Linked DNA regions of Ovis aries. The protein of the gene in region 1 purifies or fractionates together with the protein of each later gene. This does not show direct contact. Links are inferred from orthologs where the notes say so. Each region holds a gene or a part of one and is shown in the gene's direction. Other genes may lie near its edges. The genes, in order: REL, NFKBIA, TNIP2 and NFKBIB.

The links.
Region 2: the proteins of REL (region 1) and NFKBIA purify together in Homo sapiens (affinity purification with mass spectrometry; 6 studies listed by BioGRID and IntAct, counting the BioPlex papers as one, with this or other methods). This does not show direct contact. The link is inferred for Ovis aries from reciprocal best matches to the Homo sapiens genes REL and NFKBIA.
Region 3: the proteins of REL (region 1) and TNIP2 purify together in Homo sapiens (affinity purification with mass spectrometry; 3 studies listed by BioGRID and IntAct, counting the BioPlex papers as one, with this or other methods). This does not show direct contact. The link is inferred for Ovis aries from reciprocal best matches to the Homo sapiens genes REL and TNIP2.
Region 4: the proteins of REL (region 1) and NFKBIB purify together in Homo sapiens (affinity purification with mass spectrometry; 7 studies listed by BioGRID and IntAct, counting the BioPlex papers as one, with this or other methods). This does not show direct contact. The link is inferred for Ovis aries from reciprocal best matches to the Homo sapiens genes REL and NFKBIB.

The regions. Positions count from the first base shown.
Region 1 is NC_056056.1:63,129,164-63,133,297, reverse strand, and holds the start of REL (proto-oncogene c-Rel), read left to right. Parts: upstream 1-1,316; 5' UTR 1,317-1,632; coding exon 1,633-1,642; intron 1,643-4,134. UniProt on the Homo sapiens protein: Proto-oncogene that may play a role in differentiation and lymphopoiesis.
Region 2 is NC_056071.1:43,394,520-43,398,790, reverse strand, and holds the start of NFKBIA (NF-kappa-B inhibitor alpha), read left to right. Parts: upstream 1-1,443; 5' UTR 1,444-1,531; coding exon 1,532-1,758; intron 1,759-2,379; coding exon 2,380-2,488; intron 2,489-2,816; coding exon 2,817-3,027; intron 3,028-3,417; coding exon 3,418-3,506; intron 3,507-3,629; coding exon 3,630-3,890; intron 3,891-4,255; coding exon 4,256-4,271. UniProt on the Homo sapiens protein: Inhibits the activity of dimeric NF-kappa-B/REL complexes by trapping REL (RELA/p65 and NFKB1/p50) dimers in the cytoplasm by masking their nuclear localization signals.
Region 3 is NC_056059.1:116,696,615-116,700,682, forward strand, and holds the start of TNIP2 (TNFAIP3-interacting protein 2), read left to right. Parts: upstream 1-1,225; 5' UTR 1,226-1,335; coding exon 1,336-1,614; intron 1,615-4,068. UniProt on the Homo sapiens protein: Inhibits NF-kappa-B activation by blocking the interaction of RIPK1 with its downstream effector NEMO/IKBKG.
Region 4 is NC_056067.1:47,982,149-47,986,266, forward strand, and holds the start of NFKBIB (NF-kappa-B inhibitor beta), read left to right. Parts: upstream 1-1,290; 5' UTR 1,291-1,355; coding exon 1,356-1,534; intron 1,535-3,762; exon of another isoform or gene 3,763-3,835; intron 3,836-4,118. Other genes in the region: SIRT2 (NAD-dependent protein deacetylase sirtuin-2), read right to left, coding at 21-67, 902-917. UniProt on the Homo sapiens protein: Inhibits NF-kappa-B by complexing with and trapping it in the cytoplasm.

The DNA.
Region 1 (4,134 bases):
CGAGTTTTAGCTCCAAGATGTAATTCCGATTATTTTCCCTTGGGAGAAAGACAACAGGCATTGTAGTTGATTGCATCTATCTGATGATATAAACGAGTGAGATTTCCTTTTTCTCTTTGCGGTCTCTTAAGTGCATCACAATATGGTTTACGGCTTATGCTAATCATAAAACTGTTTCATTGTTTTCTATATTTTGTGGAAAGGATGCTTTGGTTGGGGGTGGTGACAGGAGAGTTTATTTTTAATTATTTCCCAACTGGGGCCTCCAGTTTGGGCACTTGTATGGCTGATAGCTCCCATTGCCCCTCCATACTTATTTTAAACGGTAAAGGAAAGTGGAAAGAGCACGGAGTTCTGGAGTCCGAAACCTTGAGTTTAAACTGTTCTTTCTTACTAGCATTCTGATGTACAGGCAAGTTACTTCTCTGAACCCTGATTGCCTCATCTATAAAATGAGGATAATAATTCATTATAAAGGGGGTAACTAAACTGACACATACAAAATTCTTTATACAGGAAGGAAACAAAAGTTATCCTAGATTCTGATGCTACACGTTCGTCCTTTCCTTGTGAGTCTGTCAAATCCCAATGGGGTGTCCACTTCATTAACTTGGAGCACTGAGTAACGAGGAAACGAACTCACACTGCGGACCTTACTAGCTTGAAAAGTTTTTTAGTTTGTCAAGTACGTTAACAGAGTCCTCACAAAGGAGATGTTGCAAAGGTATATCAGACTGCGGGGGTCCCCGTATGCAAATACCTGAATTACAGGCTCACCGAGGCCGCGGCAGCTTCCGCACTTCCCCTCGAGGGCGCTCCGGGACGCCCGCGCTGCGCCGCCCGCCGGTCCGGGGGCGGAGATTTGCATGTGCGACAGAGGGAAGAGGGGGAACCACCCAACGAAAACCCCGACCGTCGTTCCCCCTAGCCTGGGAGGGGAGGGCCCGCCCCGAAGTGCTCGCGGGAGGGCAGCCGGCCCTTCTCGACGTCACCGCACCCTCCCACCCCTCCTGAACTTTAAGCCACGCGCCCAAGAACATCCTGGAGGAGGGGGATTTCTCGGGGACCGGCGGCTTTCGCACGCTCGGGGCCGTCACTCCCCGGCTCCCAGCGTTCCCTACGTTCCCGGAGAGGCAGCTTCCCCGACCGGTTCCCGAGCCCACCCGGCATTCAGGAGACGGGCGGGTGGGCGGGGCATGGGCGGGACGGGGCCCGGCAGCGGTCGGCGGACGCTCGCGCGCCGGTCGCAGGACGCTCCGCCTCCGCCCCCGCCCCCGCCCCGGGGTACGGAGGTGAGGGATCCTACGTCAGTCTCTGGAAGTCCCCCTCCCGCTGGGCTGTCCGCCTCTCAGGCAGACCTGCTCTCCGCTGTAGCTGCGCTCCGTCTTCTGGCTTCTGCCACCTGGACGAGCGACGCCGGGTGACCGGAGCGCGAGGATTAAGCGGGTGGGAAGGTGTGAGCCGCAAATCCAGAGGAGGGCGGGAAGGAGGAGGAGGAGGAGGCCCGGGGGTGGTCAGGGGGACTGGGGATCCCGCCAGCAGAGGTCCCTGGGCGGCCCGACTGACGGGCTGAGTGACTGTAGCGGCCTCCGGTCCGGACGCTCGGAGCGGGGCGGCGCTGTGAGCGGAGCAATGGCCTCAGGTGAGTGTTCCCGGCGCGGGCTACCGACGGCCGGGCGTGGGCAGGGTCCCGGACAGCGGGGAGCGAAGGAGTGCGTCCGAGGATCTAACTACTCAGGGTTTCGGGGGCCCAGTTTTGGTTATGTCTCATTCTGTTTTTAAAATCGCCTCTGGTAAGTTTGTCAGCCTTTTAAAAGTGACCTGGTTCAGGGTTTGCGTGCGAAATCGAAGTCACGCTCTGTAACTTGATGCCATTGTAATAGCCGGAACCTTAGACCTTCCAGAAGACTTTGTTTTTGGATTAAGGAAGTAATAAGAATCTAAATAAAGGAGGACGAAAGAGTTCCCGTATTTTTAAATTGATTTAAGTTGAAATGGTGGTGTTTCGTTTTAGAATAGGAATGAGGAACCTTCCGGTCTCAGGAGAGCTTATCTTTTTTTAAGTTCAGTTTCATCAGTTGCCAAGAGGTGATCGCAGTTGTGCTGACAGTTGGACAAATGTGACGCGCCTTTAAAAATCACCAGTGGTATTTTAACAAGTCTTAAGTGGAAATGTTGCTTCAACAAGTGGATCATTTTTACTGTAAAGTGCGTACTTTTTAATTTATGGAGCAGAAATCGAGTTTTGTTCTCTTTTGTTGGAAGGAAGGGGAAAAGAGGATTTTTAGGATCCCCGTGCTTTAAAGTAACGGGTGAGAATGAAAACTTTCTGTCACTTACGTGAATACTTATTTGTAGACAGTAAATGCGGGGATCTCTTGCTTTACCTAGAAACTGCTTAAAGGATGCGGGAGGGAGCCTCCCCATCCAGCTGTGGTTTAGGTTAGCCTGCAACCTAAGGGTTACTAAATCAAGTAGGCTGCTTTGGAGTGGGACCTTCACAGGAGTCTGTCACGGTTCTTGGAGGCACCTTCCCTGCAAGAGTGAGCAGAGGCAAGGAGGCCTAAAGTGTGGATTAACGCAGAGGCTGAAGACAACAGGAGGCTGAAGAAGGAGGCTTGTTTATGTTTGACCTGCATCCTCCCAACACCCTGGTTCAGTGACCCACAGTAGAAAACTGAGGACTACCAGAGAAGAGGAAGTAGAAAGCATAAAGGACTTTTTTTTTTTAAAAACAGGGTTGAGCAGAACAAAGAGGTAGCTACTGCTCTAGGCCAAAAAGGAAATTGGGGTGGTTCACATGACATTTGATTTCAGTTTGTCTGTGGTTTTCTGTGAGAATACAAATGTAGTTTAAAATATTTCAACTTTCTCTTTAGCCACTTCAGTGACCCTAAACTTTCAGATAATCTTGTAAATTCATAAATTCAGACCATGTTGAGATTAAAAGTGCAAAGATGATTGAAACACTTGGTTAATTTATTGACTCTCAGAAGGATTTTGTATGAAAGTTAAAGAATGGTTAGCATAATAAAGTAAACAGAAAAATCAGCCTTCTGGTAATTTAACCAAACTTTGTTGATATATGGTGTGAATGTAACACTTGTAATCCATTCAAAAGAGAGAAAGAAGAATTAGCCATTTATATGGACTATTGTAAGACCCACATCATTTAAAAATGTGGTACAATTTAAACTTGTTTAAAACTGACATTTGTTTTTGTCTTAGTGAGAGGACTGATTTCCTAAATTGAGGGGGGAAAATTTTAAAGGGTAATTATCACCCTCCCCTTTTCTGGAATTATATTAAAATGACACTATTTAAAATGTAACAAGTTATTTAAATTGTAATTCTGTTGTTTGAAAACTACTAAGGAAAAATCTGGGTGTACTTTCCTTAATCATTTGTAAAAATCTTAGAGAAAAAGATTCACAAAATTATAAGCTCCCATCCTGTTTTGAAACAGTAATTTAAGCAAAAGAGTAACTGAAAAAAACTTCTGCTTAGTTTACCATTGTCTAGTTTATAGTTTGTAGTACAGAGTATAAAAACCTCAGAAAGTATTTTTATTGATTACCAAGCATTTAAGACTGTTTCTTCATTTCTCACCGGATGTTATATGTAAATAGGTGTCTGTAGTTGAATATATGGTCTGTATAATATGACAGTAACATCATAATCTCATAAATAAAATTATATAAGTACTATGAATAACTGGGACTATATGTATGATTCTAAATTTTGTTCAGTTAAACTGTCATATTTAGGATTTCACAGCTTGAGTTCTATCAAGCTGTCTTGATTACTTTTTTTTTTTAATTACACCTTGATTCCATTCTTTTGACACAGTTAATTAGGATAGGCATTAAAAAGAAGTTCTCAGTCCCATCCAAGGTATACATAAGCAGTCCTTACTCTTGTATATTTATGATTCTAATCTGTTTTAAGGTAAATAAAATTAGCTATTTTTTGGTCTGAATTTAAAGCTTCTCCTTATTCCAGTAGAAGGTGCAAATGTTTTTGTGTGCTTTGTTTACTAATAAATAGTACTGTCTTTGGTAAAATATGTATTCAAATTTAGATAATTTATTTTTACTTACAGTTTTAAAAATTATTATTTTTTAAATTGGAATA
Region 2 (4,271 bases), on another chromosome or scaffold:
TTTCTTTATTTTGCTTGGACCAATTCTAGAAATAGATGAATGCATACCTCTCATTGACTAGGAGGTGGGGGGGGCGCAGAGAGCCTAGGTTCTATTTCTGCAGGTGAGAGGAGGGTGGTGAGCCTGGAGTGGCTACCCATATGGCAAGCATGGGTCCCATGCATGTCTCTCCCAGGCAGGAGAGCAAGGAGCCAGCAGAGGCAGGATGAAGGGCACCATGGGCTGCCTTGAGCCTCCTGCACTATGCCTGGCAGCTAATTTCTTAGCCATCCATAAGGCCTCATCTTGGATAAGGCACTACTCTACCCATTCTTCAGCCACCTTCCCCAAATGCTTCTGCAAAGTCACCCAGCAGAGGACCCAGAAGTATGCTCAGGGTCTGTTCCCTGCAGCAGCACAGTGCAGAGCAGGGAACCCGACCTCCATAATTATTTCCTTACTTCAAGGGATTTACAGCCTCTGCTACAAAGACTCATACCTTGCTTTCCTTGAAAAATACCATGGTTGTTTTCACCGTTTTCCTGCATACAGGGCAGAGTGCTTGCCTCTCCTCCAGTCAACAGGATTGATAATCCCAAGGAAATGATTTGACGGTTCCCCAGTGGCAACCCACTCCAGTGTTCTTGCCTGGAGAATCCCAGGGATGGGGCAGCCTGGTGTGCTGTTGTCTCGGGGTCACACTGAGTCGGACACAACTGAAGCGACTTAGCAGCAGCAGTAGCAGCAATCATTTAGGCTTTTAATGCCAAAAGCTTTAGAAACTTCTACCCGGGGGTCGGGCGGTGGGGGTGGGAGTGGAGAGTGGGCTGGGGCTGGCTATTCAGCCGGTGCCTACAATGCTAAGAGCCTGGTACTGGCAGGAAGGCAGAGGCAGCCACCTTCCACCGACCAGTGCGTCCTCCCCGCAGAGAGCTTTGGGGAAGTGAATCCCTACACCCGGCCAACATTTCCACTCGCGTTTTCAAAAGATTTAAAAAAAAACCGGAAAAGACCTGCAGGTCGGTAAACCCCAGTGAAGAACCAGCCTGCAGGCCTGCGTCTTTGGGATCTCAGCAGCTGACGACCCTAAATCAAATCGATCAAATCGGGAAAACCCAGGGAAAGAGAGCTTCTTGCAGAGGGCCAGGATTACTGCGTGCAGGTTGCAGGGAAGTACCCGGGGAGGGGGCCCGGTCAGGAGGACTTTCCAGCCACTCAGCGTTCATCAAAAAGTTCCCTGTACATGACCCCAGTGGCTCATCACAGGGAGTTTCTCTGATGAACTCGGGCGCGGGGTTTAGGCTTCTTTTTCCCCCTAGCAGAGGACGAGGCCAGTTCTCTTTTCTGGTCTGACTGGCTTGGAAATTCCCCGCGCCTGACCCCGCCCCGGAGAAATCCCCTGCCAGCGCTTATAGGGCGCCGCGGCGGCGCTGCCGAGCCCACAACAGTCCTAGCCCGTCGTCCCGCTCGCCCGCGACTCCGAGAGCAGCCAGAGCGCAGCGCAGCCCGCGGCCCGTGCACTGGGGAGCAGCGCCCGAGCCTTCACCGCGCCATGTTCCAGCCTGCCGAGCCCGGCCAAGATTGGGCCATGGAGGGCCCCCGGGACGCGCTCAAGAAGGAGAGGCTGCTGGACGACCGCCACGACAGCGGCCTGGACTCCATGAAGGACGAGGAGTATGAGCAGATGGTGAAGGAGCTGCGAGAGATCCGCCTCGAGCCGCAGGAGGCGCCGCGCGGCGCCGAGCCCTGGAAACAGCAGCTCACCGAGGACGGAGACTCGTAAGTGTCGCGGGCCCGGGTGGCAGGGCCGGGTGGAGGCGCTGGGCCTGCAGCCCCAGGCGCGGGGCCCGCGCAGCGGCCGCGCACCGGGGTTCGTGCACCGACCCCGAGGCTGTGCAAAGGTGCACGGCTGCCTGCGGGGCCGGGGGCCGGGGCGGGGGGGGCGGGTCGGGGGTCGGCGCTGGTTTCCGGGGCCGTGGTCCCGCGGCCCTGCGTTGCAGCCGCGCGCACCCCCCGCACGCACACCCCCGTGCGGGTCCCCTCGGCCGGAGGCGGGGCGGCGGCGGGGACGCGAAGTCCCCGCTTGCATAAGGGGGGGGCGGGAGTTTCTGCCCCGCTGGCGGGCGCCGCGCGGCCGGGAGGGGAAGTACAGGGCGTTCCGGCCGGGCGAGAGGGCGGGGCGGTCTGGCCGGCGCCCGCCGCCGAGCGCGGGGGGGGCGGGGGGCCGGAAAGTCCCTGGGCGCCTGCCAGGAACACTCAGCTCATAATAACCTCGCGGAAAACACCGCGGCCTCGGCCTCCAGAAACCCCGGCCTTGCGCAATCCCCCGCGGGCCGCGCCTCCCCGGGCCCCACGCAGTGCACTCACCAGCCCTGGGGGTTTTCCCTCTCTTCCCCTCAGGTTCCTGCACTTGGCCATCATCCATGAAGAGAAGGCCCTCACCATGGAAGTGGTCCGCCAAGTGAAGGGAGACCTGGCCTTCCTCAACTTCCAGAACAACCTGCAGCAGGTACTGCTCTCCCGCCGCGTACCTCTCTCTCCCGCTCTGACCCCGAGATAAAACCGGGTCTTGCACATGATTTCTAGATTAACAAAGGTTTGGGCATTATCTGCCCTGATTTTTTACACCTGTGTCAGCCAGTATTCTAGAACACAAAATTCCATTGATTTGGGAAGGCCTTTATGAAGCCCATCTGGGGCCTCTGGTATTTTGCTTTGCCCCTGGTATGCGCCTGGGAAAAGCAGCACCCACAACCAAGATATCTCTGGGGTTCAAGGGAACACAGATGGTGGGTTGGATCCATGGCTTATCCTTTCTGTCCCTCTTCTGTTTGTAGACGCCACTCCACTTGGCTGTGATCACTAACCAGCCAGAAATTGCTGAGGCACTTCTGGAAGCTGGCTGTGATCCTGAGCTCCGAGACTTTCGAGGAAATACCCCCCTACACCTTGCCTGTGAGCAGGGCTGCCTGGCCAGTGTGGGAGTCCTGACTCAGCCCCGGGGAACCCAGCAGCTCCACTCCATTCTGCAGGCCACCAACTACAATGGTATGTCTGGCTGTCCTGCCCATCAGAGGGCAGGTGAGGTGGACACGGGGGAGGCAGGCTGACTTAAGGAGGCCAAGCAAGGCCTAAGCTCTCAACATATGAAAGATGGAGAAAACATGTATAAAGGCCTAGTTGATGCCTTTCTAAAGTCCATTCAGAACCCAGATTCTGAGCTCTTCAAATTAAGAATGTATCCTTCAAAAGAATAGGGATATATGTATACCTATGGCTGATCCATGTTGATGTATGGCAGAAACCAATACAATATTGTAATTATCCTTCAATTGAAAATAATAAATGAAGAAAAAAAAAGAATAGGTGAAAGCTTCTGCTTGAGAAATGAGTGTTGAAACAAGTAGTTATAATACTGTCTTACTTTTGGTCTTCTAGGCCACACGTGTCTGCACTTGGCCTCTATTCATGGCTACCTGGGCATCGTGGAGCTGTTGGTGTCCTTGGGCGCTGATGTCAACGCTCAGGTCAGTGCCTCACACCTTCAAATGGGGTACATCAGGCCACCCTGGTCCTCAATACGAGGGCTTTTGCTGCAAGCAGAACTTCCAAACTCAGCCATAAGCATCTTGAATTCCTTATGGTTCCAGGAGCCCTGCAATGGCCGAACTGCCCTCCATCTGGCAGTGGACCTGCAGAATCCCGACCTGGTGTCACTCCTGTTGAAGTGTGGGGCTGATGTCAACAGAGTCACCTACCAGGGCTACTCCCCGTACCAGCTCACGTGGGGCCGCCCCAGCACCCGGATACAGCAGCAGCTGGGCCAGCTGACCCTAGAGAACCTTCAGACACTGCCAGAGAGCGAGGATGAGGAAAGCTATGACACCGAATCAGAGTTCACAGAAGATGAGGTGAGTCCCAATTAACTTGTTCATGGCTTTGCAAAAAGAAAGGAGAGAGGCCATTCTCCCTCCCCCTTCTAAGGCTCCTAGAGTTCCTCCTTATCCTGAGGGTCTCAATGTAATGAGCCTCTCAAGCTTGAGTATGTGTAAGCAGAATCCCAAGAGCATGTCTTTTTTTTTTTTTTTTTTTTGGCTCTTGTTGAAGGAGGATCCTTAAAGGAAAACTCCCTCAGCCCAGGAAATTCATTTACATTCAGTGTATAGAGAATGGGGTCCAGGAATACTTGAGTTATTTCCAGTAACAGCCCACCCCATCATCCTAGCACCCTCGGAAAAGCCCTGCGAGTTTAACATGCCTTTTTTTCTCTTTTTAGCTTCCCTACGATGACT
Region 3 (4,068 bases), on another chromosome or scaffold:
CCCTAACCACGCGGCCTGCGGGCGTGTGGGCACAGGCACCCTGTACTGCGTCCCCCAGTCTCCACAACACACCTGAGGGGTGGGGGCAGCCAGCCTTGACCTCTCTGCAGCGGAGGAGGTGTGAGCTGGCTACACTTATAATTCTGATTATACCAGCTTGTGAGTGTCTTCCCTGGGCTCAGCCCAAGCTCGGGTATGGATTATGTAGAGGGGGAAAAAACGCCACGCTGCTCTCAGGGGACCCAGGGACGGGGGCAGAGAAGGGTGTGCCAGGGAACCTTCGAAAGACCACAGGTGTGCTTGGGCATTACAGTGGAGGACACTCGGAGTCTGAAAAAGTAAACAGCCGTGGAGCCATGGGAAAACCCTCGGAGTCGGCCTGGGAGCCGGCAGATGGAGCGGATGGAGAAACAGGGCAGGAAAGGGCCAGCTCCCTCCTGCCTTCTACCCTAAGAGCAGTTCTTACACCTCGGAGAGGGGATGCGGGCTCTGGAATCTCGCTGGTGGGCTGGGTACCTCGCCGGGCTCAGTTCCTGGAAGGCCGCCCTTTTCCCGGTGCTCGGCGTGGCAGCCGGCCTGCAGCCCAGGGGTCCGGGCCCACGCTCGGGGCTAACACTCGGGGTCGTCTCTCTGGCCACTTCTTTTCCTTCCGTCAGGAGCGAAATAGAGGCCGTTTGACCCCTCTCCTTGTCCGCGCCTGACTCGCTGAAAGCTCCCGCGACACGAGCCGATGAGGCTGCTGGGACAGGCCAGGAACCGCGGGTGGAGCGGCCGCAGGACCCGGGCGGGTGGGGACCCTGCGTGGCCAAGGTCCGCGCGGCAGGCAGGGTCCAGATCTCCTCGGGGGCGGGGCCTGGCGGCTCGGCGAGGGCGGGACCCAGCTGCCCGCGGGGCGGGGCCTGCCGGCTCGGCGGGAGGCGGGTCAGGCTCTCCGTGGGGGCGGGGTCTTGCGGCTCGGCGAGGGCGGGGGCACGCTGTCCGTGGGGGCGGGGTCTTGCGGCTCGGCGAGGGCGGGGGCACGCCGTCTGCGGGGGGCGGGGCCAGCCTCTCGGCGGGGGCGGGAGCACGCTGTCCGCGGGGGGCGGGGCCAGCCTCTCGGCGGGGGCGGGGGCACGCTGTCCGCGGGGGGCGGGGCCAGCCTCTCGGCGGGGGCGGGAGCACGCTGTCCGCGGGGGGCGGGGCCAGCCTCTCGGCGCGGGGCGGGCCCGGGATCTCCGCGGAGGGCGGGGCGCGCCGGGAAAAGTTCCGGGAAGGTGGGCCGCCCCACTGCTCCCCCGGCCCAGACCCGGCACGGAAGTTGCCGGCGGTCCGCGCCTCCGGGACGGGTCCGCAGCCATGTCGTCCGGGGATGCGGAGTCCGGGGGGCGGGAGGGCGCCCCGAGCGCGGCTGCCGCGCTTTGCGGCCTGTACCACGAGGCGGGGCAGCGGCTGAAGCGCCTGCAAGACCAGCTGGCGGCCCGGGACGCCCTCATCGCGCGCCTCCGCGCCCGGCTCGCCGCGCTCGAGGGGGACACGGCGCCGTCGCTCGTGGACGCGCTGCTGGAGCAGGTGGCGCGCTTCCGGGAGCAGCTGCGGCAGCGGGACGGCGGCGCCGCGGAGGCCGCGCTGCGCCAGGTGCGGGGCGGCGGGGCCGGGCTTCCCGGGGGCTTCCCGGGGGCTCCCGGGGGCGCGTGTGCCCGTCGGGCGTGAGGCGTGCGTGGTCTGCCGCGGCGGAGCCGCTGCGTGTGGGGTTCTGGGCGGTGCGCGCCGCGAGGGGTGTAAGGGCTGAGCGTCGAGCCGGGCTCTGCCGTGCGTGTGCGCCTTGGCTCAGGGGCTGTGCGTGCGTGTGCTGGCTTTTGAGGCGTCTGAGCCTTGCTGCGTCTGAAGGAGTGTGTCTCGCTCCCTCAGGTTCTGAGAGGTGTGTGTGCCAGTTAGTCTGGGGGCCGTGTGACCCTGTCGGTTGGGAGGGGTTTGTCCTCTCTGACGATATGGGATGGATGTCGAGGTGGGTCTGAGGGCTGTGTGCGTGTTGGTGTGTGTGCGGCGTTACCCTGTGGGGCCTGAGGGGCGTGTCTGTCCCAGCGTCGGGTCTGAGGGGTGGTTGCGACCATGTTGGGTGCTTCGTGCTGTGTGTGTGTGTGTGTGTGTGCGTGTCATTTCTCAGGTGAGTGTGCGTTGGCTTCTGGGGGGTGTGTGTGGCTTTGCTGAGTCTGGCGGTTGTGTGTCCCGAAGGTTCTGAGGAGTGTGTGTGCCCATGTTGTGGTGTGCTTGCGCGGCGCGTGGGCTCTATGGGATCTGCGCTCCTCTTAAGGGTTGTGTGGTTCTGAGGGTTTGTACGTTCGGTTGTGCTGAGCCGTCTGCTCCCTGGTTGGCTTCTGAGGGATGTGTGTGTCTGTGTGGTTCTGAGGCTTGCCCCTGTTGGGATCCGCCCATTTTGGTCCTGAAGGGTACGTGTGTCTGTGCTGGTTTTGAGGAGTGTGTGTTTCTGTGTTGGGTTCTGGAGGATTCTGCTCGGAGAGGTTGTGTGCCTCTTAGATCTGAGGGTTGTTGCGTCGCTGCTGGCTCTCGGGTGTGTGTCAGGCTCGTTATCTGCTCCCATGTTGGGGCTGAGGACTGTGTCTCCCCGGGCTCCGTTCTGAGAGGTGTTGGTGCTCCTATCGATTCTAGAGGCTGTGTGTCTGTAGCAGCTCTGAGTGGTGTGTGTGTGGGTTTGGGGTGCTGGGTGTGTTTACCCCTACTGGGTCTGAGATGTGTGTGTGCGCCTGTGCAGAGTCTGGGGGTGTGTCTGCGCCCGTGGTGGGTTCTGAAGGGTGATGGTCCCTGGCTGTGGTGAGGGCTGTGTGCCTGTGTTGTGTCTGAGGGTTACGTGCGCCCATATGAATTCTAAGGAGTGTGTGGTTGCATTGTTTTTAATTAGCTTGTTTACAGTTTATTTTTAATCGGAGGATAATTGCTTCTGCCATAGGTCACGCGAGTCAGCCGTGGGGACACTTATGTCCCCTGCCTCCTGCCCCACCCCATCCCCCTCTCTAGGTTGTTACAGAGCGTTGAATGGGAGCTGTGTCATACAGCAGCTTCCCATCGTGAAACAGTGGCTGTCTGTCTACACACAGTGATGTCTGTGCTGCTCTGAATCCATCCCGCTCTCCTTCCCGCTTTGTGTTGGTTGTGAGGTGTATTTGTACATGCTGGTGTCTGAGCGGTGTGCCTGGAGTCTGCGGCTTGTGAGTCTGTCCTGAAGGGTTTGTTCCTATGTTGGGTTTTGATGGTTGTGTGTGTCCGTGTTGTGTCTGATGGGTGTGTGCTCATGGTGGGTCTGAGGGTTGTGTGTCCGTGTTGTGTCTGTCTCGGGAGTCTGCCTGTCTGTGTTGGGGGTGAGGGCTGTGCGTGCTGGCTCTGAAGGGCGTCTGCGTTTGCTGGGTTCTGGGTGGAGTATTCCCATATGCGTCTGAGGAGTGTGCTTGTCTCTGCTGGTTTCTGAAGCGTGTATGTCCTGTGTGGTGTGTGTGTCTGTGTGTGTGTTTTGGGTTCTGAGGGGCGTGGGCACTCGTTTGGGCTCTGGGAGGTGTATGTGTGTGTTGGATTCTGTAGGTTGTCTTGTCTGTGATGGTTCTGAGGCTTGTGCGTGTGCCGGTATTGATTCTGATGGTTGTGTACCAGCTGAATTCAGAGGGACCTGCTCCCATGTTGGGTCTGAGGGGTGCGTGCCTGTGTTGGGTCTGAGGGATGAGTGTGGGTGTTGTTTGTATCTGGATTGTGTGTGCGCGTGAGAGGCTCTGTGTGTGTGTGTGTGTTCATGTGGAGTCCTGCGCTGTGTGTGCAGGCACCGGGCTGGGTGTGTGTGTAGCGCGTGGCTGTAGGCTCCTCGTGTGTGGGGGCTGTGTTGGGTTCAGGGCCATGTGGACCCTAATGTCCTGGGTCTCTTTTAGCCCTAGTTGTGAATGTATCTTTCAGTAGTAACACCTCTGCTCTGCAGGGAGTGATGACAGAGTGGGAAGCTGCCGGAGTGTCTAAAAGCCGACTTAAATCCTTACTTTCCTGCTTTCTTATCCTTGCCATTGATATTATGTCTGTCTGCATGAAATATCA
Region 4 (4,118 bases), on another chromosome or scaffold:
CACCCTTGTCCCCATCTCACCTGAGCCTCCTGCACCTTCCCTGCCTGGGTCTCCTCAGGGTCAGAGGCTGGGGGAGGAGGGGGAGCAGACGTGGTTACAGTGAAGGGATTGGTTAAGGGGGAATGAAGGGCTTCTAAGTCGGGGTAGAGAGGGGCAACAAGACCTCCAACCTAGTTATATGGGGTGGGGGTATCAAAAGGGAGTAGATGGAGGGAGGGAAAGGAAGAAAAGCAGATCTTATTAGAGTGGAGAGTGCTGGGAGGAGAGGTGGTTGGTGAAGGACAAAGAGGCTGGGACATGGAGGCTTAGGAAAGCGAAAAGAAAGTAAAGCATATAAGGGCATGAAGGAAGACTTAGGAGGAGTTAGGAAGGACACAGTAGTGTGTGAGTGTGTGCTGGGAGGGTTAGGTTTACAAGCAGAAGAAAATGTAGAAAGAAAGAGAAGATAAGGGATACTGGGGCTGGAGGCAAGTTTGCAAGAAGAGGTGGTGGGGGCGGAACGGAAGGGCGAGATGGCAGGTTTACAAGAGGAAGGAAGAGATAGGAGGGGACACCAGGGGTCCCCAGCACCCTACAGTTCCCACTAACAACCAGGTACCCTTAGCAACCCGGACAGCGGTATTCTAAGTCCCTAGTAACAAGGGTCCTTAGCAACTAAGGTGCGAGACACACGCTATCATTAGTCACTTAGGGGAAGTGGCAAACGGACCCTTAAAACCTCGAGACCCAGAAACCCACCAATCTATCCAGCAATATATATCACAACGGCTCCCTGAACCTCATTCCCCTCCATGCAGCCCCCATCTCCTGCCCCACCACTCCCGCCCTCGGGCCCCGGGGCCTGCAGCCCTCAGCCAGGCCCCGGCGCGGCCCGACCCTCCCACCAGGGCCCCCGACTCACGATCCGGATCGGCCATGGGCGCGGGGCGGGGGCCCTCGGGACTGTCACCGACTGCTCTATCCCGTGACGGCACCGGAAACAGGAGGGGGGCAGAGATAGGTCAAAGAACTACAACTCCCAGGAGGCATAGAAAAACGTCCGGAGCGTGCCCCTCTGAGGTAAGAAGAGACACGCGAGAGCCGGACTACGAATCCCAGAGTGCCTCGCGTCCGCAGCCATGTTGGTAAAGGGCGCGCGGAATGAGTGGGAAAGGGTAGAGAGTCGCAGTCCATCTGAATACTCTGATTGGTCACGGTGTAGTATGAGGGCGGGGCGCTTACTATTTAGCCGACTCTGATTGGATGAGTCCGGGGGGAGTGTTGGGGAATTCCCAGCAGGGCGGAAGCGCCAGAATTCCAGGCAGAGCCCAGCGACTGGCGGGCAGCCGCTGGGGTCCCCTGAGGCTTTGGGGGCTATGGCCGGGGTCGCGTGTTTGGGGAAAGCTGCGGACGCCGATGAATGGTGCGACAGCGGCCTGGGCTCTCTGGGTCCGGACGCGGCGGCCCCTGGAGGACCTGGGCTAGGCGCGGAGCTGGGCCCGGGGCTGTCGTGGGCGCCCCTCGTTTTCGGCTACGTCACTGAGGATGGCGACACGTGAGTGAACCTTAGCCTGCCACACCGAGCCTTAGGATGATCCCACATCTGATTCCCTGTTAGTCCCTGATACTGATTTTCCAACCTCTTAATCCTAAATCTGTCTTCTAATGCTTACTCTGACCTCTAACCCCCGAGTCTAACCCTTGATAAAATCAATTTCCAAGCTAGTTTTTATCATAACCCCGTCCTTTCTGAAACTTTGGCCCTCAGAGTTTCATATCCATTGACTAATTCCACATTCAAAACTCAATTTGAGCTTCCTGACCCCAGTCCTGAGACCTATCTTAAAACTATAGCTCACAGGCTCCTTCTGACATCTCACCTCCAAATATGATCTTTGATCCTTAGCTCCTAATTTAGGAGCTTTAAATTTTGATTTCCAAAATTAACATTTGGCTTTTGACTCTAAGATCTCCCACTTTCTGAGCACTGATCTTCAAATCCTACATTGAAAGAGAAAATGTAAACTCTATGACAGCAAGGATTCATCTGTTAAACAAGTATTTATCTAGCACCTACAGCGTTTCAGGCCCAGTTGTAGATGCTGGTGATAAAGCAGTGAAGAAAGCACAACAACTTATGCCTTGTGGAGCTTACGTTCTAGTGTGGGGGGTCTATAAATGGAAGGGCAGACAGACTGACAGGAAGGAAGAAAGGAACAGTAGGAGAAACAAAAAAGAAAGAGAGAAGGAAAGAAAGAAACAGAGAGCCGTATAGACACAAAGTAAGAAAGAGAGAGGAGAGAGAGAAGAAACAGGCAGAAAAACGAACGAAAGAAAAATGGTGTGTCAGAAGACAGGAATTTCCTTGGTGAAAAATAAAGCAGGAAAGAATGAGACAAGTAGATTATCTGGGGAGAGTATTCCAGGTAGAAGGAACGACGTCATAAAGACCTAATTGAGGGAATGTACCCGGGGTTTTTGTGTGTTGTGTTTACTGCCGTAGCCCCAGTGACAGAACGGTGTTTGACCCATAGGAGGCGCTCAAGAAACACCGGTCTTCCCAGAGAACCAGCTGTGCTTTCATTTATTTTCTCTCGTCTCTTTTTTTGCTTTCTGTTGTGTTTATCTCTGTTTTGACTTTCGTTATTTACTTTCTTCTGCTTACTTTGAGTTTATTTTTGTTCTTTTTCTAGTTTCTTAAGGTGAAAGCTGAGGTCATTGATTTGAGGCCTTCCTATTTTTCTAATATAGGATTCATGTGAATTTCCCGAAGTAGTGCGTGAGCTGTATCTCATCACTTCTAATGTGCTGTGCTTTCATTTCCACTTAATTCAGTATAGTTTCTAATTTCTCCTTTGATTTCTTCTTTGGGCGGTGGATTATTTAGGAGTATGTTATTTAGTTTCCAGATATTCCGAATACCTTCCTTTTATTGGTTTGTAGTTAAATTCTATTGTGTGTGCAGTTGAAAAGAATGTCTGGTATCTTGTTGTTGAGTGTAGTTCTCCAGATGTCAGTTAGAGGTTGTATGGGTTTCTTTTCTAAAACTTTTATTGATTTACTTTTGGCTGTGCTTCGTCTTTCTTGCTGCCCACGGACTTTCTCTAGTTGCGGTGTGAGGGCCTCTCATTTTGGTGGTTTCTCTTGTTGCGGAGCAGTGTCTCTAGGGCACAGGCGCAGTAGTTGCTTCGCGTTGGTTTAGTTTCCCCGAGGCATGTGGGATCTTCCCGGATTAAAGACTGAGCCTGTGTTCCCTACCTTGGCAGGTGGATTCTTTAGCACTAGACCTGTAAGTCCTGTGCTGGTTTCTTTGGTTCTTCTCTTTTCCAAGTCTATTATATCCTTGCTGGTAATTTCTCTCTACTTGATCTATCAGTTACTGAGAGTAAGGTATTGAAATCTTTAATAATAATTGTGGGTTTCCTTGTTGTTTTATCAGGTTTTCCTTCATGAGACTGGATGCTCTGTTATAAGGAGTGCAAATGTTTAGGTTTATTGTGTCCTCTTCCTGAACTGACCTCTTTATCATTGTGAAATAATCTGCACTATCCCAGGTAATATTCCTTGCTCTGAAATCTTACTCTTATTTTAAAACACTCCTACTTACTTTTGACTGACAGGCGTTAGTATGGTATATCTTTTTCCATCTTTTTATTCTTAACTTAGTTTTAAATTTATTTGAAAAGCTGTTACTTGTATAGTTAGGTTTTGCTTTTTAAAAAAAAATGTTTATTTTTAATTTATTTGGCTGCATCGGCTCTAGTTGCAGCATGTGGGATCTTGTTCCCTGACCAGGGATTGAACCCTGGCCCTCTGCATTGGAAGTGCAACGTCTTAACCACTAAACCATCAGGGAAGACCCTAGGTTTTGCTTTTTTATCCACTCTGACAGCTTCTCCTTTTTTAAAATTTGTGTTTATTTAGCTGTTTCTTTTTGGCTGCACTGGGTCTTGGTTGCTGCACACAGGCTTTGTCTAGTTGTGGCGAGCGGGGTATGCTCTCTAGCTGTGCTGTGCAGGCTTCGCATAGTGGTGGTCTCACTTGTTGGGGAGCACGGGCTCTAGAGCACACAGGCAGTTGTGGCACGTGGCGTTAGTTGCCCCACGGCATGTGGAATCTTCCCAGACCAGGGATCAAAC